Linked DNA regions of Drosophila melanogaster. Changing the gene in region 1 together with any one later gene gives a genetic interaction. Each region holds a gene or a part of one and is shown in the gene's direction. Other genes may lie near its edges. The genes, in order: Rab5, RN-tre, PIP4K and vap.

Region 1 (7,927 bases):
TCGGGCACCAGATCTATAGCATCGCTTTCCGAATCTTCGAGTCTCCGTTTAAGGTTGGACCTTATGGGCTTCGTTTCCACCTTTTTCTGGATTTCCGGCTCGGCTTCTTTCTCCGCCTGATCCTTGAGTAACGCGGAGGTTTCACTTCCTAAACCAGAATCAGACCCACCATCTCTAAGCTCATCCTCTTTCGGTTTGGCTGGCTGGGCAGGCTCCAATGATGCTTGGTTGTTGGACACCACCTCCGCTGATCTGGTGGCCATTTCCGTCTCATTGTTCAACTTCAGCCAAAGAAGTTCTCCACTGGTGTCGACCTCCTCGTTTGTGGTGACCGACGCGGAGTCAAGAATGTTGTCAATTGCCAGTGGGTCCTCGGAGACTGCGTCGGAAGCTATTGAAGAGTTAAGATCCGCATCGCCTAGTACGATTATCTCATTATTAGGATAGTTCTCCAGCTCAAGGAACTGCTCCTCTAGTTCGGTGTCCGCCGGGCCGTGAGCAAAGTCCGCCAGTTCATCATCGAGCTGCTCAAGCGGCATGGGTAGGGAAGCCAACGCCTTGGCTTTCGCTGCGTGCACCTTGCTGGCGTCAATTATGGAGGTTTTGATCTGCCTCTCGATGTCGTCGTCGTCATCGTCCAGGTGGGGAAATATTTGCAGCTGATGCTGCCGCTCCTCCGGTTCGCTCTGATTATCCTTGTGATCCAGATGCCGCTGATCCTTCCTTTCGCCTTCGTCGTGGGCAGTTAGGCTGGTGGTCCCCTCCCTTTGGCCGGCGGCCTTGTTTCCTGATGGGCTAAACATATTGGAGCCGCTCGCATTTTTTTGTATGTACGTAAATATTTTTTTTATAGGACTAAACATGCTATCCGTGTCGAGGTCCCTAGATCATTGAGTGTCCTTTGGTCATCTGCAAGAAAGTAGGAGGAAATGGTTTTACATAATGTTGCTTGGAAATTTCCTTCGCAGGTAGCGAAAACGTATAGATCAGGTGTGTATGTACAGTGTCCATTCGAGAGGGAGAACTGCCGGGAATGCGAAACTTTATTTCTGAGTAAATTAATTACACCTGTTTACGTTTCGTAAGAGCCCCTGACCAGGTCCTAGATCCAACAAACAAATTGCCAAAAGCCTAATGAGTGTACCTTTTACAACTTGTGTAAATATTTAGAAATATTAATTTAGCTCAAGTATTAATTTTACTGCTCGCAAGAAATCAATTGTTTTCTGTGTACGTGTAATGGTTTAAAAATATATATCTTTCGCTTTAATGTTCCGCTCACTTGTATGTTCGCTTTTTCGAATGAGCACTGTGCTTGGATGGGTGTGCGTGTGCAGAATCCTTTGAAATCCTGGATCCCCGAGAATTTCGCACGCTAGAAAGGAGACCACCCGAAAAGTAGACATACCGCTAACCAAAATCAATATTGATTAGCTTCTTTTTTTGGGGGCCCACCTTTGCGCTTATATTTTCGCAGCCAAGCCAACGGCCGGACTCGCAAGATCGGTGGGATTTATCCTTTTTGCAATTTGCGTTGCAGCTGCGATAAAAAACTGAGAGCGAGAGAGATGACGAAAGACGCAACTGTGTGCGTGTGTTTGTGCAAGTCTGTGCGAGTGTGTGCGTGAAGGAGGCGAATCAGGACACAAAGGTCGGTATTCTTTTATTAACACAATCACTTTACTATGCGCCTGGCAACGCCCAAAATTATGATTTATTTTTTAAAACTCATTTCGCACTTCCGTAAACTTTTTCTTAATTTTTCACTTCTTCTTTTCTCGCAATGTTATTACTTCTTCTATTCAGTGTGCCCGTCGCTGGACCCCTGCAACATGACAACAGTCCTGCACCGATCCAAATGTACTTAAAAATACCAGGCAAAAATTGATAAAAGTGTATACGATAGAGCGTGATAGATAAATGTGACTCACTAGTAGATGGTGCGTGTATTTGCTAAGAAATAATTCAGAAGAAAAATTAAAACAAATTCACCAATGGAGCCGGTTCCTGCAAGCTCATTGATTACATAAATTCATAGTAAGACAATTATTATGTAAAATATACCCGTTTTACGATTCATTAGTTGACTCGTGCAGCAAAGAAATATGTTTTGTATATTCACGGTAAGAAATGTTTATATTAAAATTTTATTTATATTGTGTAATATGTTGGTCCCACTAATCGATAGAAATATGTATCGTTGGTTGGAGCCTCTGCTAACGAGCAGAGCTTAGGATATGTTTGGCATATTCCAACAGTCGTCCTGCGGTCACACATAAAATTCCAAGAAAGTTGTAAGTTAAGTTTACTAATAAACCAGGCGATAATTTCGCTAGCCATTAGCAAGGCAAGGAAGCTAAAAAAGACAAAAATCTTTGGCAAATCAATGGTGACGTCGCCCAGGAAGTTAATCGACAAAAACACGACCTGCGACGCGACGATAATTTTGCGAGAGGCGAGTCAGTCGCTATCTATCTCCCTCTGCGCTCGTTTCGTTTCGTTTCTTGGGGCTGTTTTGGGGCACACAATTGAAAGGAAAAAACGTAAATGCAAATGGTCAACTGGTCTCCAAGTGCCGCGTTTAGAAGAGTGCGTAATTCGGCGGAAAGTCGAGTGCTTTTGCGTTGTTGTTTTCGCTCACCCCTCGTAATTAATTAAGAAAGTTGTGTAAAATTTTTTCGCCCCGTCCGCCATAGTGCGAGTGTAAGAGCGAGCGCGATAGATGGCCCTGAATTTTGGGTGCGTTGCCCATGAGAGTGGGCGCTAGAGCGAGACGGCCGTACGACCTGCTCCAAGTGCAGCGTGCACAGTGGGTCGCAAGGCCTAAGATAGTTCACGAATCTAATTGTGAAGAGATAAAGAACACTGCAGGTGCACTCTGGTATGGAGTAAAGCTGGCAAAATCGGATCTTGGCCCGCATTATCACCCAATTTATCAGCGCTTTACACGCCAAAACGGATCAAAAATCGCGGTTCTTTGTTCCGCCTGTTTTGCGTCTTTAGTTATGAGAGAGAGTGTGGGTGTGTGGTGTGTGTGTATTTATCGGCAATCCGTTCCCTTATCGTGCAAGTTTCTCAAAGAACTGTCTTTGTCTCTGATGTTTCTATAAAGCCCAAATGTAAACAAAAACGCATCCTTCTATTTGTTTATTCTAGACCTTTTCGCTCGCTTTGCAAATGGAAGACCCGCATTTGTCAAGCTATACATATTTACGGAGTGATGTGTGGTGTGACAGTAAATATAACGCTAATTGTATTCTCCGTTTTCTAGACGTGCTTCAAATATGCGTGCTGAGAAAATTGCACTTGTTGACTTTTCGAGTGAGGCAATTCCACAGTCAAGCTCACGTGAATAGGGCCATGTTGATATAATGAAAATGTTTTAAGTTTCCAAAGGTGGATTTAAAACTTAATTCATGCTTAAAATTAAGCACAAGCTATGTGGACGTTCTTCTTTATTTCATATTTATATTAAATATCTTTAAAATCTAACATAAGATTTGTAACTTAATTCCACGTATTACAGCTATTTGATTGATAAAGGCTGTGGCTACGTATGGTTGTTGTTCTCGCTCTCATTCTCTTTTTTGATTCACTTGCATTTGTATTAGTCGCGTGAATGACGCATCGTCAGCTGTTCTAAAAGAACCGTAATTTCCTGAACGTTGTTTTATATTTTATTGAATTTTCCGCAGACGGGCGCGAAAGTCACTCCTGTTGTCCAAGTGACTTTAAAGTTTAATAAACCGCATTAATTACGGTTCGAATTAAAATTAGCGGTGAGTTATTTACTGACAGCTGTCCGCTTCTCAAGGAAAATTTTGCATTGGCTTAGTGAGACACACTGCTTGTTTTAATTAAATTTAAAGTGCAGTTTTCGTTTTGGCTTAGACGCAAAAAACAGCAAAATACGTCATTCGCTGGATAATGAAAAGTAATTGTAGGCGAAATTTCTTTATCGCAATGAGAGTGCGGTTTTCGAAAAGAGAGACCAAGTTGTCGGCTTCTGTATGTGTGTGTGACTGTGCACTTGGCTCCAAAGTCTCCGGGAAAAAAACAATTGAATGATCGGAAGGGAGGGGGAGAAACAAACAATTGTTGACTGACTGCATTTTTAATGGCAAAGAGAGGGCCTGCATATTTCGCTCTCTCCCTCATTCCTTGTTAATTTAATAACGCCGCACAGCGTACATGTTTGTCACGCTTTTACTTTCTCCACGTCTCCCCGTTAATTTATTTTGCATTGATTTTTATCACAGCTTCCGCCCTCACTCTGTGAATTCTCTTCGCTCTGCGCTCACTTCTCTCCACAAAGTAAACAAGACTCGTGTAGAATTCCATACCCCGATCTTCGTAGATTTATCTCCACTGTACAGTCTGGCTTCAATGTGTTAATTAATTTCTGTCGGAATTCTGAGATTCCCGTCGTCGGTCATAAAAACGAAAAGCATGTGAACGATACTTTGTGAAGATTTGAAAACGACTTTAGCTTAGTTAATATATGCAACAGTAAATATTTTTAAACAATTTTAATGATTACTCTCTGTTTAAAACGATATCTTGTTTCGGGATCAACGTATCTGTGGGACATCGGTAAAAGTGTAGTGGCCAATGGGGCGTATGATTCATAAAAGTGGCACTGATAACAAAAATACTGTGAATGCCACACGCATTACCGCTGAATAATGCGAGGCGTCCTCTGTGTTATGTACTATTATACACATATGTACACAAATTCACCCGCCCTCGAAATATTTTCCACCAGAAAGTGTGTGAATTATCAATTGCGCGGTAGCCCCTAGAGGAGCTGCAATAAATATCTTTTACGATAACTTAGATTTCCCGCACAAGGGACCGATAAGAATGTTGTAGTTTCGATTACTTGTAAACCCCTTATCTGCCACGAAGAAAGGGAAAAACAATAATTGCGCCTAGAAAGCGCATATAAGGTTTCCCCTTTGTGTTTGCCAAAGTATTTTTAGTTGTTGATGGATTTGTATTTGCACATGTAATTAAGAATGTTTGTGTTTGTGGATGTTTGAAGCAGTCACGCAAGGAATTTTCTAAACACAACTCATAACATTGAACATCTAATCGTGGAACAATTGCTTTCACTGATTTTCCTATCACAAGCTTATCAGTACTATTATGTTGCCAAGTGACACAAATAGTAATGATATGTTTTCGGATGTGTAACACTTATAAATATAAATATAAATAAACTAATATAAGCTCTAATGTGAGTTTTTGTAGGGCGTACTGCTTTCAATTTCAATTGAATTTATCAGTGACCATTGGCAGACGCTTCCCTTTTCCTCTGTTTCATTTACTGATGGAAAACGTCGGCTTTTTGTGCATATTCTCGGATATGTACATATTGAACTGGGCTTGTCGACGGCGTCATTAAACAAACAAAGGCGCCACACAATCATCTGATGGTTTTATGTGGGTTTTATATTCATCCACATGGGCAGCATGTTTTCAAGGGGACTGAGTTTAAGCCCTAAAAACGTACCATTATGGCAGAAGAATTGGAAGCACTCAATTTCGTTTTTATCCGTCTCCATTATAAATATGTACATTATTTGTATTTTGCAGATTCCGCATCCACACTCAGCAGCAATCTTAGCAGAAAGACTTACTCAGCAGAAGAGGGAGTGAGTTGCAGTAACCGTCCGTAGAACCAAATATCAGTTGCCATCTCAGAGGAGGAAGAGCGCATCCACATTCGCATCCGATCCAACCCGAACCGATCATGGCAACCACTCCACGCAGCGGCGGTGCCAGCGGCACTGGAACGGCGCAGCGGCCCAATGGCACCTCGCAGAACAAAAGCTGCCAATTCAAGTTGGTGCTCCTCGGCGAGTCCGCTGTGGGCAAGTCCTCACTGGTGCTGCGCTTCGTCAAGGGACAGTTCCACGAGTACCAGGAGAGCACGATAGGTGCGGCCTTTCTGACACAGACTATTTGCATAGAGGACACTGTCGTTAAGTTCGAGATCTGGGACACGGCTGGCCAGGAGCGGTAAGTATCGCTGGATAGATCACCCAACTGAAAGCTTCATCTGACATACTTATATTCGCTTTTGTAGGTACCACAGCTTAGCTCCCATGTATTATCGAGGAGCGCAGGCCGCTATTGTCGTCTATGATATACAGAATCAGGACAGTTTTCAGCGTGCGAAGACCTGGGTCAAGGAACTGCATAAACAAGTGAGTGTCAGCGGGGAAACTTGAATATCGTGCAGAGTGTTTTAATATTATAATCATTTATATTATTGCTCATGAAGTGCCTCAGTTCAATATTCTTAACTCGAGAAATTCGTTCACTTGATACGTAAATTATATTACATAAAATATGTATTAATAAAACTTTTTTCCAGGCCTCACCAAACATTGTCATTGCGCTGGCCGGCAACAAGGCAGATTTGTCAAACATTCGCGTCGTAGAGTTCGATGAAGCGAAGCAATATGCCGAGGAGAACGGGCTGCTGTTCATGGAAACCTCCGCCAAGACGGGCATGAATGTGAACGACATCTTCTTGGCCATTGGTAAGCTATAAGGAGCCGTCGTAAACGCTTCGAAAACTTTGCTAATCACTACCCCAACCACAGCCAAGAAACTACCTAAGAACGATGGCGCCAACAATCAGGGAACCAGCATAAGGCCGACTGGAACCGAAACAAATCGACCGACGAACAACTGCTGCAAGTGATGTCCCTTCGTAGGTAAGTTAATTGCGTTGGAAATACGGTTGCATTACTAACACAGTTTTTTTTTGGCTTTACAGAAAATGAAATTTCCAACGAGAGATTTGAAAAGTTTATGCTGATAATTATAAATAAAAAAATTATTTAAAAATTCAACAGAATCAGAAAGAAATACCTAAAGCCGGCTCTCGCAGGGGACGAATTTCATTTGAGAGCCACGAAACCAATAATGATAAAGACCACATAAGAATTATAAGCATTAAACAAAGGAGCTCCCATTCCCAACATAAACGAAAGTTGCAATTAAAGAAAGTTAGTTACAAATTCCCACACCCGATTTCCCCCATTACGCTCGATATCTGTCCAAAAAATATACAAGCAAACTGACACTCACGCAATTGAGCTAAAATATCAGTATAATTCCAACATAAACCATTTCAAATAACAACGCAAATTAATAATGAAAACTAAACATGAGAAGAAAGCGCAGGGTTTTTGGAGATTTCATCGTGTCGTAGAAAGTTTGAAATCGTATTGTATAAAAAAAAGAGAGAAACCCCGAAACCAACTAAGCGAGCAAAGAATATTTGTAAAGATTACATGTCGTGTAAGATTCTGAGCATTAAGTAAGGGGCAGATTCCAGTTGCAGTTGTTCTCAGCAGCGTTCCAAATAAAACAAACAAAACAAACAAACACCACAAGGAGCAAATGTTCAGGCCAGCGGCTGAAGATCCTCGCTCGCCTCGGTTTGTGGCAATGTGTGTGTCTCTACGGCTCCGGAGCTCGGACTCCAGATCCGGATACGGACGCGGATGATTCGACTCCGGGTCGCGGCGGACACGTGTGATAGTTGCAATTTATATAAATTATATATACACATATGAAAATGAAGGAAAACGAAAACCACAAAAAAAAAAAGAAAACCAATTATGCATACTTTTAGATTTTTTTATTTTTCAATTTCGCCTTGCGTTGAACTATTTTCCACATTCTAGCAACAATCGAAGATTTAATGCTACTATCTTTAAACGTAAACGAGAACGGAGATACTATCGTAATCCATAAAAATTAAACTTACATCTAGTATGCAATTAAGCGGAGAGGAAGTAAAGTGAATTAAAATAAATAAATAAAACAAATCGAACAACACAATACCGTAAACAACTTGTTTAAATCGTTCCACAAACATCAAAGATCCGATGCATATTTCTTTCCA
Region 2 (6,744 bases), on another chromosome or scaffold:
TCTACCTACAAGGATCAAACGAAATCAAAGGATCAACGTTGAAGAAGAAGCAGAGAGAGAGAAAGAAAGAATCAAAGACAGGGCAAAAACAAAGTCATCAGTCCAAAGACAAAGGCAAATAAATGGAGAGACAAAAGAGACGGCCATAAAAACTCAACCGACAACTTCTGGATGTGCGAAAGGGACGGCAAGGGTAGAGCGAGAGGTGTGTGCATCCATCATTTTCTAGGCGATGCAAGCAAAAGCAATAGCAACAACCACAACAAACTGCAGTTTGGGCTTAGGAAATTATTTGGCAATTCCAAAGCCTCGAAAAACTGGTCTTGATCCATTTTTAAAAGCCGAGCTTTGACTCAAGCTCCCCTCAAACATAAAAACATCAATCATGCGAAGTTCTACACGAAAAGCGCTTCAAGGTCTTATCAACATGAGAAGAGAAAAAAAGGCATATGAAAACCCGAAATAGAACTGGTTTTGAAATGCAAAAAGCCACCCACACGAAACTAAAACGCTATAAACTAATTAGGCGATAAGAGACTTAACTTACTTACCCAGAAGCTGTGCTGATAATCCAACTTGATTTTGATTTCCTTTGATTTGCTATTTGCTATTTTCCATTTGTTATTACTGTTGTTATTTCAACTTAGCATTTATCCAATGCTTTGAATTTTAATCCAACTGCAACAACAACAAGAACGGCACAATTTTATTAGCTGGCCAATGCAACAACAATCAAAAGAGCAGAAACTCTCCGCTCTCCTCTCTCGATGTCTTCGTGTATGTGCAAAAATCAAAACAAAACACGGCAAAAACACTTATAACTCAAAGAGAGCGAATGAGAGAATGAGAAAGAGAGTGATCCGCTTTGCTTTTGTTTTAGTTTTTAGTGACTGCAACATGTTGAATGTGTTTACTCTTGCCCTAACGGTAAATGCTAGAGCTGCAGTTTAAAAATCCTCTGCTCGTCTCGAATTGAAAATCAAAAATTTACACGCGGCAATTTTCTTTTGCATCACAAAATCCACAATCACTCACACGCACACACAAACACACATATATATATATATATATATATATATATATATATATAAACGCACACCTTTAAAAAGGACGCTGTTGAGGGTTGCATTTTATGTTAAACATAATATTAATTATTTGCTTACTTTTATCTCACAATGCACTCTTAGAAATTTCCACTGTTATGTTATTCATGTGTTTGCATAAAACTGGAGAAATTAAACACGGTATCTCAACAAAAATAAAAGAAAGCCGCCAACAAAATCGGTTATGTTTGACTTCTTTTCACTTTGATATACACCTTAATTCATTTGCTTGTTCAATTAGCATGCACTCCTTAGTTATTTGGTACAGTGTATTTTTTACGAGAGTTCTCGACAATTTTCGAGCGCTAAAACAAAGAAACCGCGCTCGATGATAAAAACCGCGTCCGACTGCCGCTGTTTTTTTGTTGTTTTGAGAGGCGCTAGTGGTGGAACGATGGCTGGGAAAACATCGATAACGCTATCGATCAAGCGATTACTTATCCTTCTGTTGCTGACGATGTTTTCCAGTTGAATGTATGGCAGCACTGCTTATTTAGTCACAAAAATTATATTTGAATTAAAAAGCCGATTTTGTTATCAAGAAATAAATTTTGAAGTGAAAATGTTTTCCACAAATGTTTTAATTCATTAAGTGCCACTTGTCGCAATTAAGTAACTGAATAGGTTTTAAATAATAAGTAAATAAATATCATTGTTAAATATTTATAAATGAGCATTCATTTGCAGCTTTAAATAGATAAACATTTTACATATTTGTACATTGACATCACAAACATTTCAACTAAAATTTAAACTCGTATAACATTACGCTAAAGTATCGCTTAAATATTGGCTCGCATCCCTGGTACTCTTGTTACGTTACGTTATTCGGCAATTACATCAGTCTGGCAACTCTGGCCCTCACACACACTCAGTCGCCCCCCAAATGTATCGGAAACATGCAGCCGAGATAAAATAGTGAAAAACTAGTTACCAAACATAACCGATCAGTGCGGATAATAAGAATTGGCAATTCAAAATTAAATGGTAAACGAACGTCGGCGCGATTAATTAAACTCAACCATAGGAACGCGGAGAGAGTGGCCAGTGAAAGCCAGAACACTCTCTTTCGTCGGAGCGTCTGTGTGTGTGTGTGTTACGTGTGTGCGTATGTGTCTGTGTTGACAAAATACAACAAATCGCAGCGAAAACAGGAAGTGTACGAACGATAAAGCATAAGATTGCACATTTCGCATTAAAATAGGCGACAAAAACCCGGGGGCGCATGCAGATCCACACATTTCTGGCCCACTCACACTCACACAACGCAGATCAGGGGGCGTTTTTCTAGATCAGTGACCAAGTCTTATATGGCTTTATGTTTTGATGCTGCACTAAATATGGGTGAAACATCACGTCATTTATGCCACGCTCCTTCTCCAAAAACAAAGATCATGTTGATTTCACTGCATTTGAATATATATATATATATATACAATAGTTAATGTTCGTGTGCGTCATTCGCTCATCAGCTATATAGTATACGAGTGTTGTTATTGTGGATCGCTTTCGCATGTTAATGCTTTTGTGTGTTATTTTTTCCATTCCATTTTTTTTTTATCAAAGTTTCGCGCTATCGCCCAGTCAGCTCAGAAGCAGCCGCTCCCCAACTGAGAGCACAGAGAAACCAGCTCTGGCCACTTGCTCCTCCGGATCCGGCTCCTGCTCCTGTCCCCGATCCCCTCCCCCACCCGCCAAATCCTGATCCTGCTCCAAATGACTGACGGCGAACAGCAGGAGGCGCTGGTCAAGCGGGCCGAGGACGAGCGCGAGGACATCTTCCGGCGCTACGAACTCGGGCTGGATCCCAGCAATGTGGTGGACTCCTGGGAGAATCCCACCTTCGAGATCTACCACAGGACAGACAAGTGAGTAATATTAATCATTCGCCAGAAAAAATCCCAATAATGCCATTGATGCTCCCACAGATATGGCTTCTTGCACGACTCGCGGCTGCCGTCGACGCGTGATGCCCAGGAGGTGCATCGCAACAAGATTGAAATGGAGCGGGACAAAAAGTGGATGAAGATGCTAAATCAGTGGCCGCCGCCCCAGGATAAGCTGCACAAGCGCGTCTACAAGGGCATACCGGATCGCGTGCGTATGGTGGCCTGGAATAAGCTGCTCGACATCCAGCAATCGATAAACAACAATGCTGGCGTCTACCTCCGAATGCTGCAGCTGGCCAGGAAGTACTCCACGGAGACGCGACAAATCGATGCCGATGTGAATCGTCAGTTTCGCGACAATCTTGCCTTTCGCGAGCGCTACAGCGTAAAGCAGTGCTCGCTATTCAATGTGCTCAACGCCTATAGCATCTACAACTCGGAGCTGGGCTACTGCCAGGGCATGGCCTGTGTGGCTGGCGTGCTGTTGCTTTATTTGCACGAGGAGGAGGCTTTTTGGGCATTAAATACCCTGATAACAGACCAAAAATACGGCATGCACGGGCTGTTTATCGAGGGATTCCCGAAGCTGACGCGATTCATCGATCACCACGACCGCATCATGTCGAAAATAATGCGAAAACTACACAAGCACTTTACCAAACACAACGTTGACGCCCTGCTGTACGCTATTAAGTGGTTCTTTGTCGTCTTCGTGGAACGCGTATGTAAACCACAAGGTGTATTTATTACAAAAATACTTAATAGATCTGTTTTTTGCAGGTTCCTTTTAGTTTGAGTCTGCGCGTGTGGGATATATTCATGTTAGACGGCGATCGCGTCATACTGTCCATGGCCATCACCATTCTGTACCTTCACAAAGACGAACTATTGCGCCTGAAGGACATGGACGCCATCATTGAGTACTTGCAAGTACGGCTGCACAAGAACTTTGGCTACAGCGACGATGATGCCATTCAGGCTCTGGAACGCGTGATGAAGAAGCTGAAGGACCTCAAGTTGGATGTGCCGCCGCCAGCCAAGTCAAACGAGTTCCCCACCCGCAAACTAGGTGACTTCGTGGAGGCGGATATGGAGAAGAAGATCGGGCGCAGACGCAATGATTATACAGACGCGGAGAAGCAAGTCATAACAGATGTGATATCAAGGTGGGATCTCTTGGCGTTGTTAACGTTAACATATTTATAATAATTTTTTAACTTTATTAGACAAGAACAAAACGCGATCGACGTTCAGTCCACAGTGTCCTACGAGACTTCGGAGTGCGCAACGGGTGAGTCATGCGTCACACACAAGTCCTTACACTGTTTATCTACTAATCCTAATGCTTGCTTTAAACAATCCACTTACCCCACTTGCTGACTGTAACTATAATCTGCAATAATAATTGAAAATTTATTTCTTATTTTGTATTGTGTGGTGCAAGTTTATCACAAATTGTATGTATATATATCATGTATGTATGTATATGTAAACCGAAACACGAGCAGTTCCTCAAATCGAACTTGAATTGGTGTTGCCCTAGACTTAATCCTATGTACAAAGTCCTGTTTAGTTCTAGACTATGATATATGGCATATGTATTATGTTTGATTTGAGTAGCGATGTATAGTTTTCCTTTTGAGTATACGTTAAGATCGTAGCCACTTTCAGCGAGTCATCGTTGGCAGTCCAACCCAAATGCGTCACCATCTCGCTGGCCGAAGCATTAAACTAATTGAATAATATGCTAATATTGACCTTTTGCACGTTGGAGGGAACTAAGAAGGGAATTCCTATTCCTATTTGTGTAATTTGATGGATGGCTCGAAACAGTGGGACGAGTTTAAGTGGTTCTGGATGGAGTACCAAGTTTTAGACGTAGCGGATCTAATGGGCACTAATTCTAACTGTATATGTAAATTATTAGCATTTAAGGGCCAAATAACCAAGGCAGCCACAAAAACCAGTTCATGCTTATTAAATACGCCCCTCGACGTTCATGTTATCGGATGATCCATTTTGTAACCATTGTCTAACATTGTCCGCTGCGTGTACATATATATCCGTTTCGATCACAAGCCACCGCTTCTGCGTCTTGCCGGCAATCGGAGCTGCAAAAAAAAAAAAAAAAAAAGAAAACTCGAAATCAGATCTGACCTAATTTGCAATCGCTTCTGTAATTCTGTTCCTAGGTGATGGATACTCAATGAAAACGTTTGAGAGTATCACTAGCTTAGCCACCTCGCCGGCGAATAGCAGCTACTCGCTGTACAGCAATGGATTTGTGGTGACCACTATCGATAGTGAACAAGATCCCGCCCGCAGCCAGAGTATCCACAATCTCAGCTACCTGCAGACGCATCCAGCTCTGCCGCCCAACGGGCTGCAGCATATGCGGCACAGCTTTAGCAGCGATAGCGACAGTCGCAATCGCATCGATCTGGATCAGGCACTGGAAGTGCTCCAGCGACAGCAGCTGCCCCTCCATCCGAAGACTCCCAGCAGCCAGGTGGTGTATATCGTGCAAAATGGAGGCGGAGGCGGCAGGTATATGGACGGGCATCGGGATGCTGCGGATGATGATGACGATGATGCGCTGAGCGTGGAGAACACACGCCTTTAATCTTAGTTGATTCGTATTTCGTATTCTTTCTTTATGTAGTTAATGTTTGTTTTGCCCACTTGGTTTGTAAAACGCATATGCCAATAACGAATTCCTTACCCCCCCCCCCCCCTCAAAAATCCCCTTAAACATTCGGTAGTAATATCCACATGTACTTAGCTTTAATTTTTGTATTGTCGAACCGACAGAAACCTGAAATTGTTATTCATTTGCTAGCATTCATCGATGTGTGTATTTAGTGTTTCTTCCACACTCTTTCTTTTCCCCTCGCTCTCCGATATTATCCAACCGAGAGTCTCAACTTAATATTCCAAATACTTATAACTCCTAAGACTCCAACTATTCCGTTTGAAACTACGTACAACGATTAATATTTATTGCTAACCGCCTAACTTCTTACCCACAATTCCACAATACCTACTAGCATAAACCAACTGATTAGGTAACTTAAGCTTTGCTCTTGCATTTACTTTATATTTGCATTACAAACAAAACTCAACTTTTAGTTTATGTTAAAGCCAAAATTGTAGCTGTAATCTAATTGATTAGCCAATAATTATATATGATTATACATATAGCGAAACGTACCACACAAATAAATATGATTTTGTACTGAAAAGAACACATTTGCCAGCATGGTTGATTTCGCAGTTAGCCCAATATATACAGTTTATTGTACTACAATATATGTTTCAGGCTAAGAAAACAGTATTAGTACGAAGTAATCGACTCGATTTGCACCTCACAAACAAGTACAAAAAACACAAGAACACTAACACAGCTAACAAAAATTTCACATTGCCACAATCACAGCCACAATTGAAAACTAAATGCAATTTTCCAAAAACCAAATTTTTTTCCCAACGCATTGGCAACACGACGAACTGGGATTGGTCAAACCAAATCGACAAAAAATACGAAATTCCTATAAACGCAATTTATTAGTTACGCTTACCGTTCCCGAGGATTCGCACTCAATACGAAGTTCGCTTGCAGGTACTTCAGTTGCCTCGCACGGCTCCTCGGAAACGATGTCGCTGGAGGACAACAAGTGAGTATATATCCATAGTCGGTTACAGTCAAAATAATCTTGGTCACAATCAGATCTATAAGATCTATAATTTCCATA
Region 3 (6,925 bases), on another chromosome or scaffold:
GAGAATATGACAGTAAGTGATCGCACATATATCGTGATGTTAAAAGAGCTTAGAGAACTGCCAGTATCTCAATAAAATTTTAAGATATAATTATCTTGTATTTTACTATCAATATAGTAAAAAAAATCATTCAATGTACAACGACAATTTAACTAAATATAACTAAATATATGTAATTTGCATAATTATCATATTATGAAGGAAAGAAATCAAGCTATATATAGCGGCTTCTTAGACAAAAGTGATACAACTAAAGTTTCTTTCTCCTAAAGTTTTTAAGTATTTTTACTCTTCCCCTTATTAGGATTTTCTTTTTCTTATTAGATTAATTTTAAATTTTTAAACTTATCATATTACATTTCACTTTGAAATATATAAAATATATATATTTTTAAATAAGAAAATTAAAATACAAAACAGCTATCAAATCGAAAGTTTTAAACAGAATGAAGTAGTTTGGTATGATTATTTATCCGATGTACTTCAGTTTTTTCCGACTCTACTGAAAAGGGGAAGTGTTAACCGACTCTAACACAAAAGATATTTTCAGCATTGTTTTTTCTACAAAATATTCATAAACGTTATTCATAAAACGTTAAAAATAAATATTTATTGTGCTTTTATTATTGTCAAAACATGAACAATAAAGCATGCAGCTTTATTTTCGTAATTGAATTAAGAAAGTTATCTTTGGCAAGCCGAATCGTAAAGTAACGGTGTAAACAGATTAAAAACAAATTAATAAAAACTAATGAAGTTATTCCGGCATGCTCTGGTAATGGTCATTTTTTGGATTTGGGCAAAATCTTTCGATTTCGTTTTTAGGTGCTCTGGTTTTCGCAACATTTCTGATATCGGGATGCTTCATAAACAGTAAACAGCTGTTTCAGACCATAGAGCGGCCATCTTATTCACAATTTTTTAAATTTTATAAGTATTTTTACCTTCGTACATATGACCTCTTGCCAAATCGAAAATTTTTGTTGCCGACGGCAAAATTTTGTATGGCAAATCTGAGGTGGGGTCAGAAATAATTTTTCTATAAAATATCTATGTCGCAGAATAATCTTGTGGGGTTATGTGGAGTAAACAATGGACCACTAATCTGAGGTGGGGTCAGAAATAATTTTTCTATAAAATATCTATGTCGCAGAATAATCTTGTGGGGTTATGTGGAGTAAACAATGGACCACTAAGATCTAAGATCTGTTATGGCCAAACAAAAGTGCCCGTTTTACAAATCAAAAGATCGAAAATTTTTGTAGCCGAAGGCAACATGTTGTTTGTCAAATCTGAGGTTTAATCAGAAATAAATATTTTATAAGATATCTATGTGGCAGAATGATCTTGTGGGGTGATGTGGAGTAAAGAAGGTACCACTAAGATCTGATTTGATATAAATATAGGCATTTACTTTTCATTTCGGCCAAACAAAAGTGAAAAATTCTTGCGAATTCAAAAACCGGAGCACCAATTTTTCGATTTCACATCGAAATCGTAAGATTCTTACGAATTCGAACACAGGAGCACCAGTTTTTCGATTTTAAATCGAAATCGTAAAATTCTTACGAATTCGAATACCGGAGCTTGCCCGATTATATTTTATTTTATAAATTCAATTTTTCCCGAGCGCTAATATGGCAGAGAATTTCGATCAACTCACATTTGTGTTCCACTTTAAATTTGTCTTCATATCAGAGCACGTGCTTTTGGTTTTCTAAAAACAACTCCTACAAAAACCTTTATATTTAATATACAATGCGGTTAGTCTCTTTGTTTGATCTAAATTGTTTCTCTTGAGTATTGCTTGCTATTATTAAAAGATTTTCAACTCTCTGAAGTCCTTTTAGAAGCATAGAAGTATTTAGAAGATTTAAGAGTTAAAGTATTAAATAGTTTGTGATATCAGAATTACTTTTAAGTGGAAACGGCGTTTCATAAGCCGATATAAAAAACAATAAATACATATCTGAATTTATCGATAAGGTATTTCATATTATAAATTTATGTAAACTACAAATTTGTCTGTTCAAAAGCCTGCGAGTCATTGTAAAATACAATAATCATATCTGCAAAGTAAACTAAATTTATTATGAACGCTGGGTTATTTTAGTTTTCAATAAAATGTAATACCAAAGTTCTGTTTAATGTAAATTGGTAAACAATTTACGTGCAACTCTATACATTGTATTAATCAATTTTGGGCTATATGTGTATATAGATATATAAGTGAATGTATATATTCAATGTTACAGCATGTATTATTAAAAATATTAGTTTTTTAAGTGGCTCATCAGCTCTAAATTTAACTTTGCTTAATTTGTTCAGTAATGTTAAACTATATTTTTGATTTTAGTAATTTTAGCCACCCAAAATATGGAAAAAAAGATCTCATCGTCATCCCAGCCCCGGATTTTAAAAAAGAAGCACTTCAGGGTTAAGCATCAAAAGGTTAAATTATTTAGAGCCAATGAACCAATTTTAAGTGTGTTCATGTGGGGAATAAATCACACTGTATGTAACAAATATTAAACAAGAAAGGCAAGATAAGCTAATTTGAAATATTTCCAGATTAATGAATTAAGTCACGTTAATATACCTGTAATGCTTTTGCCGGACGATTTTCGAGCTTATTCTAAAATTAAGGTGGATAATCATCTATTTAATAAGTAAGAAACCAAAACAAATACATTTTTGATATTCTCAATCGTTGGTATTTTCCTGTTATTATATCCACTACAGAGAAAACATGCCGTCACATTTCAAAGTCAAGGAATATTGCCCCCTTGTGTTTCGAAATTTACGTGAAAGATTTGGCGTTGATGATGTTGATTACCGCGAGTCCTTAACTCGATCCCAACCTATTCAAATTGATTCGTCTGGAAAATCAGGAGCGCAATTTTATCAGAGTTATGATAAGTTTTTTATAATAAAAAGTTTGACATCGGAAGAAATTGAACGAATGCACGCATTTTTAAAGCAATACCATCCGGTGAGTAAAGTATGGTTTAATTGACTAAAATATCCTTATTATAATTTTTAGTACGTTGTGGAGAGACACGGAAAAACGCTGTTACCTCAATACTTGGGAATGTATCGTATCACTGTAGAAAGCGTGCAATATTACTTCGTTGTCATGAGGAATGTTTTCAGCTCCCACTTGACAATACACAAGTATGAAATATGTTGAAAGTTACACCGATTATATGTATAGTATAACCATTATTTATTCGATAGAAAGTTTGATTTAAAAGGTAGCACCGTTGATCGGGAAGCATCAGAAAAGGAACTTGAAAAAAATTTGCCGACTTTCAAGGACAATGATTTTATAAAACAAAAAGTGAAATTAGACATTGGAAAGGAAGCTAAGGACAAACTAATGGACACGCTGAGCAACGATGTGGATGTAAGCAAAAATTTTTATTTTATTCGTATAATAATTGTTTTTATCAAAATTTAAACAAGAAAGAATGCGAGTTTCCCGACTATCAGATATCCGTTACTCAGCTAGTGGAAAGTCAAAGCGAAATTTAATTGGGGAATCAAATGAGAAACAAGGGAGAACGCTATAGTCGGGTTCCCCAACTAGTTGCCCTAATATTAACGGCATTAGATGGGAGGAGAAAAATGTGAATTGACTGGACGAAGAAGTTCGCTAGAAACTGCGACACAACTAATAAAATTAAATAAAATTTGTTATAAATGTGGGCGACAGGTGGCAATAAGTTTTTTGGCATATCAATAGAAATTTACAAGACTAAAAAAAATATGAAAAAATATAAAAACAATATTCAAAAGTTCAAATCTTCATGTCTTCATTTAATAGTTTCTGAGATCAAGGCGGTCATAAGGATTGACGTTCGGATTCAGACATTGATCCTGATCAGGAATATAGCGTCCGAAACGCTTCATATTACCTGTTATATACTTTCCAACAAATATAGTATACCAATTTACCAAAGACAATAGAATAACAAGATGCGTAACGCCATACGATTTTTTTTTGGCGTGGCTTTAGAGGTGGCTCCAGGCTCTCTCGAATTTTTGTTCAAGAGCGAGAGAGCGGAAATCTCTACAGCCAGCAGCTCTTTTCTACGCGTACCAATAGTACCAATATAGTATACCAATTTACCAAAGACTATAGAATAACAAGATGCGTAACGCCATACGATTTTTTTGGCGTGGCTTTAGAGGTGGCTCCAGGCTCTCTCGAATTTTTGTTCAAGAGCGAGAGAGCGGAAATCTCTACAGCCAGCAGCTCTTTTCTACGCGTACAGTGACAGCCGACAACTGTACGTATGCTCATGCATTGTAAATTTGACGAAATAAGCCCTTCATCTTAGAAGTTCTTAGACTTTAAATCTACATTATTTTTGATCAATTGGCACCATGTACAAATTTATTTGTTTTGAATTGCCTTAACGTTGTTTTTATTTAAATATAGCTTAGAAATAATAATAGCCTAATCTTCTATGTACATAATACCAGAAAATAAATTTCAAAAATGACTTTATATTAGAATATTTGTCATTAGAGTATTCAGCTTGCGACGACTAGACTTGTTGAATCGATCTGAAACATCGAAATTTGGGAAGCTGTAAGTGCTATAAGGAGTGCAATTAACATATCGAGGATCATCGTCTTACATATCTTGAATGTTATTAATTCATAGGGACTACAAATTTGTCGCCTTGCACATTTTATATAAATTTCAGGTCTTGAAAATCATACGAATGTGCTGCCATTTTCAAGCATATTGCGTTAAATCTAATTCATAAAAAAAAGTCCTACGAAGTGGTACTTGAAAACCATTTAATCTGAACAAATTTATCTAAAAACCTTTAAATTGTTGTAGTTTAACCTATATAACCAGTAGATATAATTATGTCTTGCATGACTTGATAATTTATTTATTTATAAATATAAATTACCAATACTTTTTGATAGCATATGGTGACATATAATTTATTTTAGCTTTTAACCAAGTTGCACATTATGGATTACTCTTTGTTGGTCGGCGTGCATGACTGTGTTCGTGCAGAGGAGGAAGCTTTGCAGGGAGATAATATACTAACTGTTGGTCGCAGTGAGAACAGCGAAAGCGAGGAATGCGATAGCGGGGAACGGTAAATAAAAATTATTTTATTTAAGCCTTAAATGTACGCAGTTCTTGTTAAAGCTGGACGTATAACACTCCTCCCGATTCTCCAAGAGGTGCACAGTATAAGGAAGTCGTTTATGAAGTTGATATATATGACATTCCAAGTATTGAAGGTAAATGTAGTTTAAAAGTTTTGTACGCAATAGCCCTGATAACTTAACAAAGAGCATTTTTATATTGGTCGTTTTTATATTTTTCAAGTTTTTGAAAATGATGCGTGCGTGCTTATGACGTAAAAAAATTGAAACAAAATTTACGTTAAAGCTCGTTTTTTTAAGATTTTACCCAAAATATTTGGAAAAACAATATATGTTGTTTTTCCATTTTATGCATGATTAAAACACCGGGGAGTACCGATTTCTGAATAGGATACTTAAACTTTCTCTTCTGATTCAGCAGTTAAGATCGTAGCTTCAATCAGACTTGGGAATCACTCTTTTAGTGGCAATCATCATAAAATTTCAGTTGCTTCAATCGTCAACTATCGTGACCATTTCGCTTCATTTGATGTGTTTCGTGCATTGCGCTTATACAAGGGGTACAATATAGTTAAGCAAAAATGTGTGATAACCTTACACCAATTTACATTACATTCAATTTATTTAAATAATTTATTAAAGAATAAATATTATTCTTTAATATATTTAATAATAAATATTATTAAGAATAAATTTATAAAGAATAAATAAATACTTTGTTCTTTGACATACAATGCAGGTAAAAACTATTTTAATAGAACCCCATTAATAAATTTAAATTTCAGTTGTTAACTAATGAGATTTCTATTACTGGTTTCTTAGTGCACATTTTAATTTTTTGGTCCAATCACTTCTACCGTTTTGCCACTAATACTACCGGTATTAAAATTAGAGAATTAATGTATATTTTGAACTGTATTGCAGAAAAACGCGAAATTTACTTTATTGCAATTATTGACGTTCTTACACAATATGGAGTAAAAAAACAGGTATTTCATTTAATACTTAAAAGAAAGGTTGTAATTTTAACAGCATATTTTAGGCAGCTAAAGCAGCCAAAACTGTTAAATATGGCAGTAATGTTGACGGTATATCAACCTGTGACCCTGAACAATATGCCAAACGATTCTTGGACTTTATGGATAAAGCTATAGAATAAAGTATTATACTCATTATGTATTTGCCACATTCAAAATGTCAAAAATGTATTTATCTAAGACATAAAATATAAGATATTATTTTGAAGCTTCCAGATGATCATCTTTTGGACGAATGCAAATATATTGCCTTAAATATCCATTTAGAAATAATTCGGATTTAGTGACCATCACGATGTTACTAGAAAAAATTGGTGAGTCGGGTAAGGATATTTATTCTACTGCACTTACAACAAAACGTTTTATTTGAGTTTTTGATGGGTTCTCCATAGCAGTTTCCGATTTTTTCATATTTTCAAAGCGTTCCCGTATTCTGAAATTAAAGGACCATTACCTTGCAAATTAGTCAAGATACATAAGTAAGTTTGATCTTACGCTTTGGCACTTTCAATAGATTCGTTTGAAATAAGCTGTGAATATACATCAATGCGACCTTCCTTTATTTCTTGTTCTATTTCGTTATTTTGCCATTTTTCAAATTTCGCTCTCAATTGCTTAGCTCGTGCAACACTTTGCGCCTAAAAAAACGAGAAGTGTATTTAATGTACTTTGTAATTACTTCTGGTAACTTAAAGCTATAAAACATTAAAGACTCTTTAGTTGTTATTGGGAGTACAGGACTTATTACA
Region 4 (7,595 bases), on another chromosome or scaffold:
ATAGACATAGCTCATGGTACCCAAGTCTTCGGTGTAGATCGTCTCCAAGGGCTCGAATTGCTGAATTGTTCCATACTTACTGGCATTTACAATCTTACAAACAAGTTATATTATAATTTCTTTTTATCTACTATTATACTTACCTGTTCTTCGTTGAGAAAGTCAAAATAGTCAAGGGCCCGCAGAGCATCCTTCTTTTCCTGCCACATCTTTTGCATAAACGGTAGAAGAACAATTTTATAGTTCGTATTGAATATAGCCAGGAGTTCGCAATAAGCTGAAAGAATCAAATGCGATTAGGTGTCAAGAAACAAACGAATCGATTTACTTGTGGCGATATAAGTGTTGGTTCTGGGTGTATCTTCCATCACGTCAATATCACCAATGCAATCCCCGGGTCCAAAAATGGCCTCCGTTTGTACGGTAGGACGACTGGAGCCCTAAGAAATATACCATTTTTCAAATAAAAAAGCATATATATTTAATAAGGCATAATTGAAAAATTGTAGCTATAACTATGCAAAGCATATTAGAAAGTATTATATATAATTTGAATAGTTTACCTTTTTATATATGTTCTTAGACATTTCCACCTCACCGGCGATTATAAAATAAATGGTTACGGGAAAATCCTCCTCCTTCATAACAATACGCCCGGGAGATATTGCCATGAATTTGACAATCGGAACAAGACGGGCGCGGACTTTCTAAAAGGGGTAACAGGTCGGATAAGTAATATTATACATATGTACAAATGATCAGCGCGCTACTCACTGGCGGAAATTTTGAAAAGCAAGCCAGATTTGCCACAATGGTGCAGAGCTTTTTCCTCTCATCGACGGAACGCTTAGCATGTGGAGTGCGCAGCAGCGATTTCTCCTGCAATTAAGCAAACACAAAAAGGAATAAACTCTTGAGCTAGCCTTGATATGAAAGAAGAGGTTCGTTGGACTTACGGCCATGGTCATCATGCCCACTTTGCGCTTCTGTCGCAGCATGGCAACGTTCTTCTTCACATTCAGCGATATTCCACCCTCCTCGGGCAGCTCACTTAGCCACTGCATATTCAGTATCACGGATCGGATGAGCTTCTTAAACCGAATCTTGGCTATTTTCTTTCCAGCGCCATCGTGAACATCGCGTTGGCGCTTGGACATGATTATGCCTTCTAAATCCCACTGATGTCGAACTGTTCAGTTCAGAGTATTGTGTCCATATAATAGTATTCGAATGACAAAGATTCGGGCTGCCGCCTGCTGTCTAAATAAGCTTGAAAATATGAAAATATATAAACTTAATTTTACCCCATTTCAGATTTTGACGGCTAACGGTTTTCGTGCGCACAAAAAACATGTGTTATTTTCAAAGTGTTTAAATCATCTTTTGTAATTTCAACACATATTAGCTTTTCATTTAAGAAATGTACATTCAAATGCTGAATAAATATTATTTGCGTTTGTTTTTTCTTTAAAATATTATATCTTAAATTGGCTTATCGTTTATAATCGATTTCTTATTCGAGCTGTACTCTCTGGCGCTATCTTGACGCACATACATTCGTCCGATAAGTTGGGTGTGTGGTATATTTCGATGATTCACTACGTTCACACTGCGCACAATTGAATTCTGTGGCTATCGGTACGGAAGAAATTTTAGTTCGTTTTAAATATGCAATTGTTATGAATAACACAAGTTGAGCAAATAAAAGACGGCAATTCCCAGCAGCGCGATTTGTTTTTTTAGCTCGGTGCTGCAGTGCAATGTAAAGTATATAGAGGAAAATATTTACACATGCGCATTAACCGATTAATGTTCTGTGTAAATGGTTTTATTTTTTTTTTTTTTGTATTTTTTGTTACCCATATGAGAGAGAATTAAATGGTTGTGCTAATGATTCATTTACAAAGGAATCACAAACCGAACACAGCCCAGAAATTGTGAATCAAATGGGCAGTAATTACCCCGCTTGAGAGGAGTATGATAAAGACGGCGACGGTGATGACGATGTTGATGATGATGAGATGGTGTTGATGATGATGATGATATGATGACTCTTCGGGTCGTGTATGTATGAAGAAAAGAACCGAATGAATTTTTTTGTGTTCGGCTCGTTTGGCAAAAAGGGCTTAGCCTAAAGTTTGTGTGTGGTGTGCGGCTCATATAAATCGCTTGTGTTTTAGATAGATGTTGATGTACAAGAGGGTGCAGCATATTCCTATATATATACCAATGTACATAAAGTATATATACGGTGTTACAATTCATAAGTAACTTGTACTTTCATACAACTCGAAATATCCTAAAAATGTCTGCGCATATGTAAGAAAGTCAGTCGCCCGGCGATTTCAAAGAGCAATATGTACATATGTACAGTGGCTCACAGCTTAATTCGTCCAGAGGTAAATGTTTATTTAATAATTCGATGAAAAACCGTTTAAAATATCAAAGAAATGGAATAGACAATTTTCCTTATCCATACACATTGAAAACGTATAGAATCAATATACAGATTCTAAGATGAAAATCTTTATAGAAGAAACAACTTAAAGATCTTAAAGTTGTATGGTTTTTTGTTGTCTAAGCTGTGGGTTCACTACACTCCTATATTACTGACTGAAACAATCACAATTGATTTGTTATCTGTAAAAGTAAACAAAGCGCAAACAGCTGATGGATGTGCTGTCCATCTTATCTTTCATTTAGTTTACTGCGAAGTCTACGTCGTTAATTGCTTTTAAATATGGTTTTGGATATAAAGTAGCATTGTCTCTATATTCTAATTAATAAACCCGGTTTCTGGTGCTGGTTGTAATCGGTTGTAATAGCGCCTATTAGTAAATTTCTTGTTTTACCAATAGGCTTAGGTTTAATCGTATTTAGTGTAGGTGTGATGTATTCTTGCCCCACAATTTTGCATACGTTGTTAAATTATTTGTTAGATCCTCAACTTTCGTAACATTGGACCCGAATTTTGTTTTGGACACTTATAGCGAATCTATTCCAATTTGTTTTTGTGAGATTACCACCACCGATATGGCAAAGAAAATGATTTCACGGTAAGCCCCGAATTCCGAATTATTTTCCATTATCTATATTTAATAGCATTAGAAAGCGGAAACTAGAACTAACAAATCTCTCGGGGCGTTTTTAGTGAATGGTTTTAGACATATCTTGGTTTAGTTAAGCATTTGATTCTATTAGTGACTCTCTAATCTGATTTCTGATTTTTATCAAATATGATTTTCGTATTGTAATCAAAGTAAGGCAGCTAAGTGTTTTTATCTGGTCTTCTTACAGTTTAGCACGGAAAACCCCACACAGTCACAAAAGTTAACGTATCTCCTCAGTTAAACGCATTCTTATCATTGCTATATGTGGCTTTTATTAAATCGAATTCCACTCGAAGTTAAATATAGACTAAGACTCGCATTTGCTGAACAGAGATCATAAGCCTAACAATGGCGGACCTAATACATTTGGGAAACATTGATGTTGTCATCCAGAAAGATAAGCCCGGATCGCCAACGGGCTGTTCGGATGATGGGAATCTTGCGGGGCTGGGTGGCATGACCGGATTGGGTGGCATAATGGCACCTGGCGGCATCGACTTGGGTGACTTGGCTCAGGAATTGGATCACGATGAATTCGATGGACCACATATGCTGAATGGTAAGTAAAGTTACATGCCCATACATTGTAGTTCGATCGATAACTAATTTTCCTTGCAAACTCCAAACGCAGGTGAACGTCCAGCGATTATTGCTCCTCCGGAAAGCGAATGGTACCATGGACGACTCGATCGCTACTCTGCAGAGTCTCGCCTACGCGGAAGCAGTAAACTGGGCAGCTATTTAGGTGTGTATAAGATGGTATTCGAAGGTGAGAAAGTATTACTAAATAAATACCTTTGTGTTCTTTTTTTAATGCTGAGCAGTTCGCGAAAGTGACCGCAAACCTGGCTCCTATGTTCTGAGTTATTATGGCCGCACCGGCATAAATCATTTTCGGTAAGTAATAGGTTAAGATACCCATTAAATGCCATTGTTTTGAATGATTTTTTATATATGTATGTTGTATCGTTAACATAGGATTACAGCTGTGTGCGGAGACTTCTATATCGGAGGACGACAATTCATTTCCTTAAGCGACTTGGTTGGTTACTATACCTCATGTAGTGATCTACTGAAACGCGAACGCTTGGCCATACCAGTTGCTCCGCCGGAGCCAGTTAATGATAAGAAACGCGTCGTAGCCATCCTGCCTTACACAAAAATGCCAGAGACCGATGAACTGAGTTTCCAGAAAGGTGATATCTTTTTTGTACACAATGACATGGGCGATGGCTGGTTGTGGGTGACTGCCCATCGTACGGGCGAGCAGGGAATGATATTCAGAGAACTTGTTGACGATCTGGATGTATCTATCGATCCAAATACGGTGTTTCCCTGGTTCCATCCCAACTGCACCAAAAACGAAGCCGTCGATATGTTGGTTAAAGGTGTGTATTATTAGTTTAAGGTACCTACAAGTAAGGAAAGCAAGCTTTCCCGAGATTCACGAGATGAATCCTTAGAATTTTGAGCTTCTTCTAGTGACGCCTACAATCGATATTTTCGACTTTTCTCTGTTGCTATATGTATGTAATTGAAACACATTTTTTCATCCTAACAGCTGGACCAGGAAGTTTCCTCGTTCGCCCAAGTGACAACTCACCGGGGGATTACTCTCTATTCTTTCATATAAACAATCAAATCCAACGCTTTCGTATTGAAAAGAAAGGCGTGCGCTATTTAATGGGCGGTCGTACATTCGAATGCTTGGATGCGGTTATAAATCGATATCGCAAAGAGCAAATTGTGGAGGGCCACTCACTGAACCATCCAGTTGTCAATGGCATTCAGCCCGAGTTCAATCAGCAATATGTTGTGGAAAAGGCCGCTGAAAAGATCTACGCAACATTGCGCGAGTGTCGTGACCAAATCGGTCTCAAAAAGATCAAGGGAATCAAACATCACGGCCATTTGAACAAGAAGTCGGACAAAACGACGAAATGGAAGCAACTCTATTTCGCTTTAATCAACGATGGTTCCGAGACGCAACTATGCTTCTACGACAATCCGAAGAAGACCAAACCGAAGGGTCTGATCGATTTGTCCTGTGCTTACCTCTATCAATGTCACGATTCGCTGTGGGAGCGTCCCTATTGCTTCCAAATTGTCGAAAGGGCCCTGCCATGCTTGGCCACAGTGACGTATCTGTGTGCTCCTAGTCAGGAAAGCTACGTGGAGTGGATTAATTCGCTCAAGGCACAATGCGATTCCCAGCTGAGTCGTGCCCAGAAGAAGGTATCACGCCTTCGTGAGCTTCGTTGTCTTAATCTGCATGTGCTGGAAGCTCATCGATTACCATTTAAACTAGTGCCACATCCATACTGCAGTATTTCCCTCAATCAAGTCAAAGTGGGCAAAACTCGTGTCAAAATTGCACCCGAACCCGTTTGGGAAGAGGAGTTTGTGCTAGAGTAAGTCTACCATTCCTTCGCCTATTTGATAACTTATCGAATAATATATGTTTGTAACTTGCTTGCTTGCAGCGATGTTCCGCCAGATGTTGTCTCCCTAACCATAACATTAATATCGCGCGGCAAACGCGGTAAGGACTCCGAAGTGGCTGAGCTAACCATTGACTTGTCTAGTCTAAAGAATGGCCAGGAAACCGAGGGCTGGTACCAACTCACTGGCATGACGCCGATGGGTGAATGGGGCTCGCTACGATTGCGTATGCGCTACCTCGACGATCTGATAATGCCGTGTGAAGAGTACAGTCCTCTGCAGCAATTGCTCCTCGAATCGGAGCTGTATGCTGTGAAGGCGCTGGCTGAATTGTGCCATAATGATCGGGTTCCTTTGGCCACGGCTCTGTTGCGAGTCTTTAGGCAGGAGAAACGGGAAACGGAACTAATTCGAATGCTGTGCCAAGCGGAGGTGACGCGCGAAAACGAAACCACAACGCTTTTCCGTGGCGCATCCTTGGCCACCACCCTAATGGATCTATATATGCGCACCGAATGCAGCGGCTTCCTGCAATCGGCCGTCAGCGAAACCGTGCAGCGCATTTTGGAGAGCAAGCAGTCGGCTGAATTGAATCCCACGAAAATGGACGTCAACGATGATGCCTGTACGAATGCCGAGTTTCTATTGCAAATCCTCGATCTGGTCACCCAGTCGATATTCACTTCACCGGACGCCTGTCCACGCAACGTGCGTTTCATTTGCAGCTGTCTTCAGAAGGCTGTGATGGCCAAATGGCCGACAGAGCGGCTCGTTCGCACACGCGTCGTCTCTGGCTTTATATTCTTGCGCCTTCTGTGCCCAGCGCTGCTCAATCCACGCCAATTTGGATTGGTCAGCGAGACGCCACCGATGGCAGCAACACGATCTTTGGTCATGGTCGCCAAGTGTCTGCAGAATCTGGCCAACTTGATTGAATTCGGCGGCAAGGTGCGTATCGATTCGACTCAGTTATGTGATTACCAAAATAAATTCGATTTCTTTTTCATTTTTAGGAACAATACATGGAGGTTGTCAATCCGTTTATCTTGAAGAACAAGGAGCGTATGATTGTTTTCTTGGATCAACTGTCCTCGGTGAACGATCCGAACCAACCGCTTGGAATGTTTGTCGAACAAAGTACAAATCTGAATTCACAAGACACTGGTAATTATTTGTCAGCTCATGTTTTCTATTTGGCGCTGTTATATTATTAAATATACAATGATTTCTTTTATAATTCCTGCAGGACGCGAGCTGGCTACCTTGCATCACATCTGCGTATCTCATTCGCAAGAACTGCACGAGCTATCCAACATACTTTCAATTAAGAAGCTGGTCACAGTGACGGACATGCTGACCAAACACAAGCTGAAGTATCGCGAGATGATCAGCTAAAATCAATTGCGAGGAGAGCGGATAATAAAAAAAAGCGATGTCTTCTTATCTACAAGTCCCTTCATACCTTTTTATAAAAATATTTATATGTGTATACTATTAGAATACATAAAATAAGAACTCAAAATAACTGGTTGAATTGTATTGGAATAGTAAACAGCATCTCATTTATAAAATTATTTATATGGAAATGAAATAATATTTAACAGACCGGTATGCATTTATTTATTATTATTATTACAAATTAAAAATAACCTATAATACACTAGCTTACACGGATTACTCCGTATAGCCGCAAACTCAGATATTCAAAATGGTTTTGCTTTCGATATTGTTTAAAATTTATTAGTGCATTACCAACGTCAAATGGCAGTTGGCGTCCAAATGCACGGCATTTATCCAAAAGTCAATACATTTTTTTTTGAAATAACGCATAAAATCGAAATAAATTAAAGAATTCAAAAAGAGTGCAAAAGACTTCCTCTGAAAACATACACTGTGTTTTTGAATGGCTCCCTTTCGGTTTCTTGCAGCTGAAAAATGTTTTTTTTTCGAATTTCTTCGCACTTAAAGGCGTTGCAATGGGCATGGAAAAGTCAATAGTCAGCTGAATTTAATATAAATACATATATTCTTCAAAGGAAACAA

The links.
Region 2: of Rab5 (region 1) and RN-tre, changing one enhances a phenotype caused by changing the other (phenotypic enhancement), as found in Drosophila melanogaster (one study listed by BioGRID).
Region 3: of Rab5 (region 1) and PIP4K, changing one suppresses a phenotype caused by changing the other (phenotypic suppression), as found in Drosophila melanogaster (one study listed by BioGRID).
Region 4: of Rab5 (region 1) and vap, changing one suppresses a phenotype caused by changing the other (phenotypic suppression), as found in Drosophila melanogaster (one study listed by BioGRID).

Annotation. Positions count from the first base shown.
Region 1 is NT_033779.5:2,359,257-2,367,183, reverse strand, and holds Rab5 (Rab5), read left to right. Parts: upstream 1-1,910; 5' UTR 1,911-2,123; intron 2,124-2,229; exon of another isoform or gene 2,230-2,347; intron 2,348-2,462; exon of another isoform or gene 2,463-2,871; intron 2,872-3,679; exon of another isoform or gene 3,680-3,779; intron 3,780-4,402; exon of another isoform or gene 4,403-4,509; intron 4,510-5,328; exon of another isoform or gene 5,329-5,445; intron 5,446-5,598; 5' UTR 5,599-5,755; coding exon 5,756-6,024; intron 6,025-6,091; coding exon 6,092-6,212; intron 6,213-6,382; coding exon 6,383-6,551; intron 6,552-6,614; coding exon 6,615-6,715; 3' UTR 6,716-6,728; intron 6,729-6,790; 3' UTR 6,791-7,618; downstream 7,619-7,927. Other genes in the region: Axud1 (AXIN1 up-regulated 1), read right to left, coding at 1-863.
Region 2 is NT_033778.4:13,985,912-13,992,655, reverse strand, and holds RN-tre (uncharacterized protein), read left to right. Parts: upstream 1-1,948; 5' UTR 1,949-2,090; exon of another isoform or gene 2,091-2,669; 5' UTR 2,670-2,819; coding exon 2,820-2,971; intron 2,972-3,031; coding exon 3,032-3,713; intron 3,714-3,772; coding exon 3,773-4,158; intron 4,159-4,218; coding exon 4,219-4,283; coding exon of another isoform or gene 4,284-4,372; exon of another isoform or gene 4,373-5,107; intron 5,108-5,184; coding exon 5,185-5,615; 3' UTR 5,616-6,230; downstream 6,231-6,744.
Region 3 is NC_004353.4:1,191,909-1,198,833, reverse strand, and holds PIP4K (phosphatidylinositol 5-phosphate 4-kinase), read left to right. Parts: upstream 1-1,985; 5' UTR 1,986-2,126; intron 2,127-2,356; 5' UTR 2,357-2,376; coding exon 2,377-2,514; intron 2,515-2,571; coding exon 2,572-2,669; intron 2,670-2,742; coding exon 2,743-2,992; intron 2,993-3,043; coding exon 3,044-3,174; intron 3,175-3,237; coding exon 3,238-3,406; intron 3,407-4,974; coding exon 4,975-5,126; intron 5,127-5,179; coding exon 5,180-5,274; intron 5,275-5,848; exon of another isoform or gene 5,849-6,063; coding exon 6,064-6,128; exon of another isoform or gene 6,129-6,181; coding exon 6,182-6,298; 3' UTR 6,299-6,415; downstream 6,416-6,925. Other genes in the region: CG33521 (uncharacterized protein), read right to left, coding at 6,475-6,477, 6,528-6,609, 6,672-6,814.
Region 4 is NC_004354.4:15,999,789-16,007,383, reverse strand, and holds vap (vacuolar peduncle), read left to right. Parts: upstream 1-1,571; 5' UTR 1,572-2,399; intron 2,400-2,939; exon of another isoform or gene 2,940-3,056; intron 3,057-3,297; 5' UTR 3,298-3,458; coding exon 3,459-3,669; intron 3,670-3,741; coding exon 3,742-3,855; intron 3,856-3,934; coding exon 3,935-4,007; intron 4,008-4,088; coding exon 4,089-4,498; intron 4,499-4,671; coding exon 4,672-5,521; intron 5,522-5,593; coding exon 5,594-6,500; intron 6,501-6,565; coding exon 6,566-6,716; intron 6,717-6,798; coding exon 6,799-6,947; 3' UTR 6,948-7,433; downstream 7,434-7,595. Other genes in the region: CG12698 (uncharacterized protein), read right to left, coding at 1-93, 144-277, 329-440, 564-707, 775-879, 957-1,157.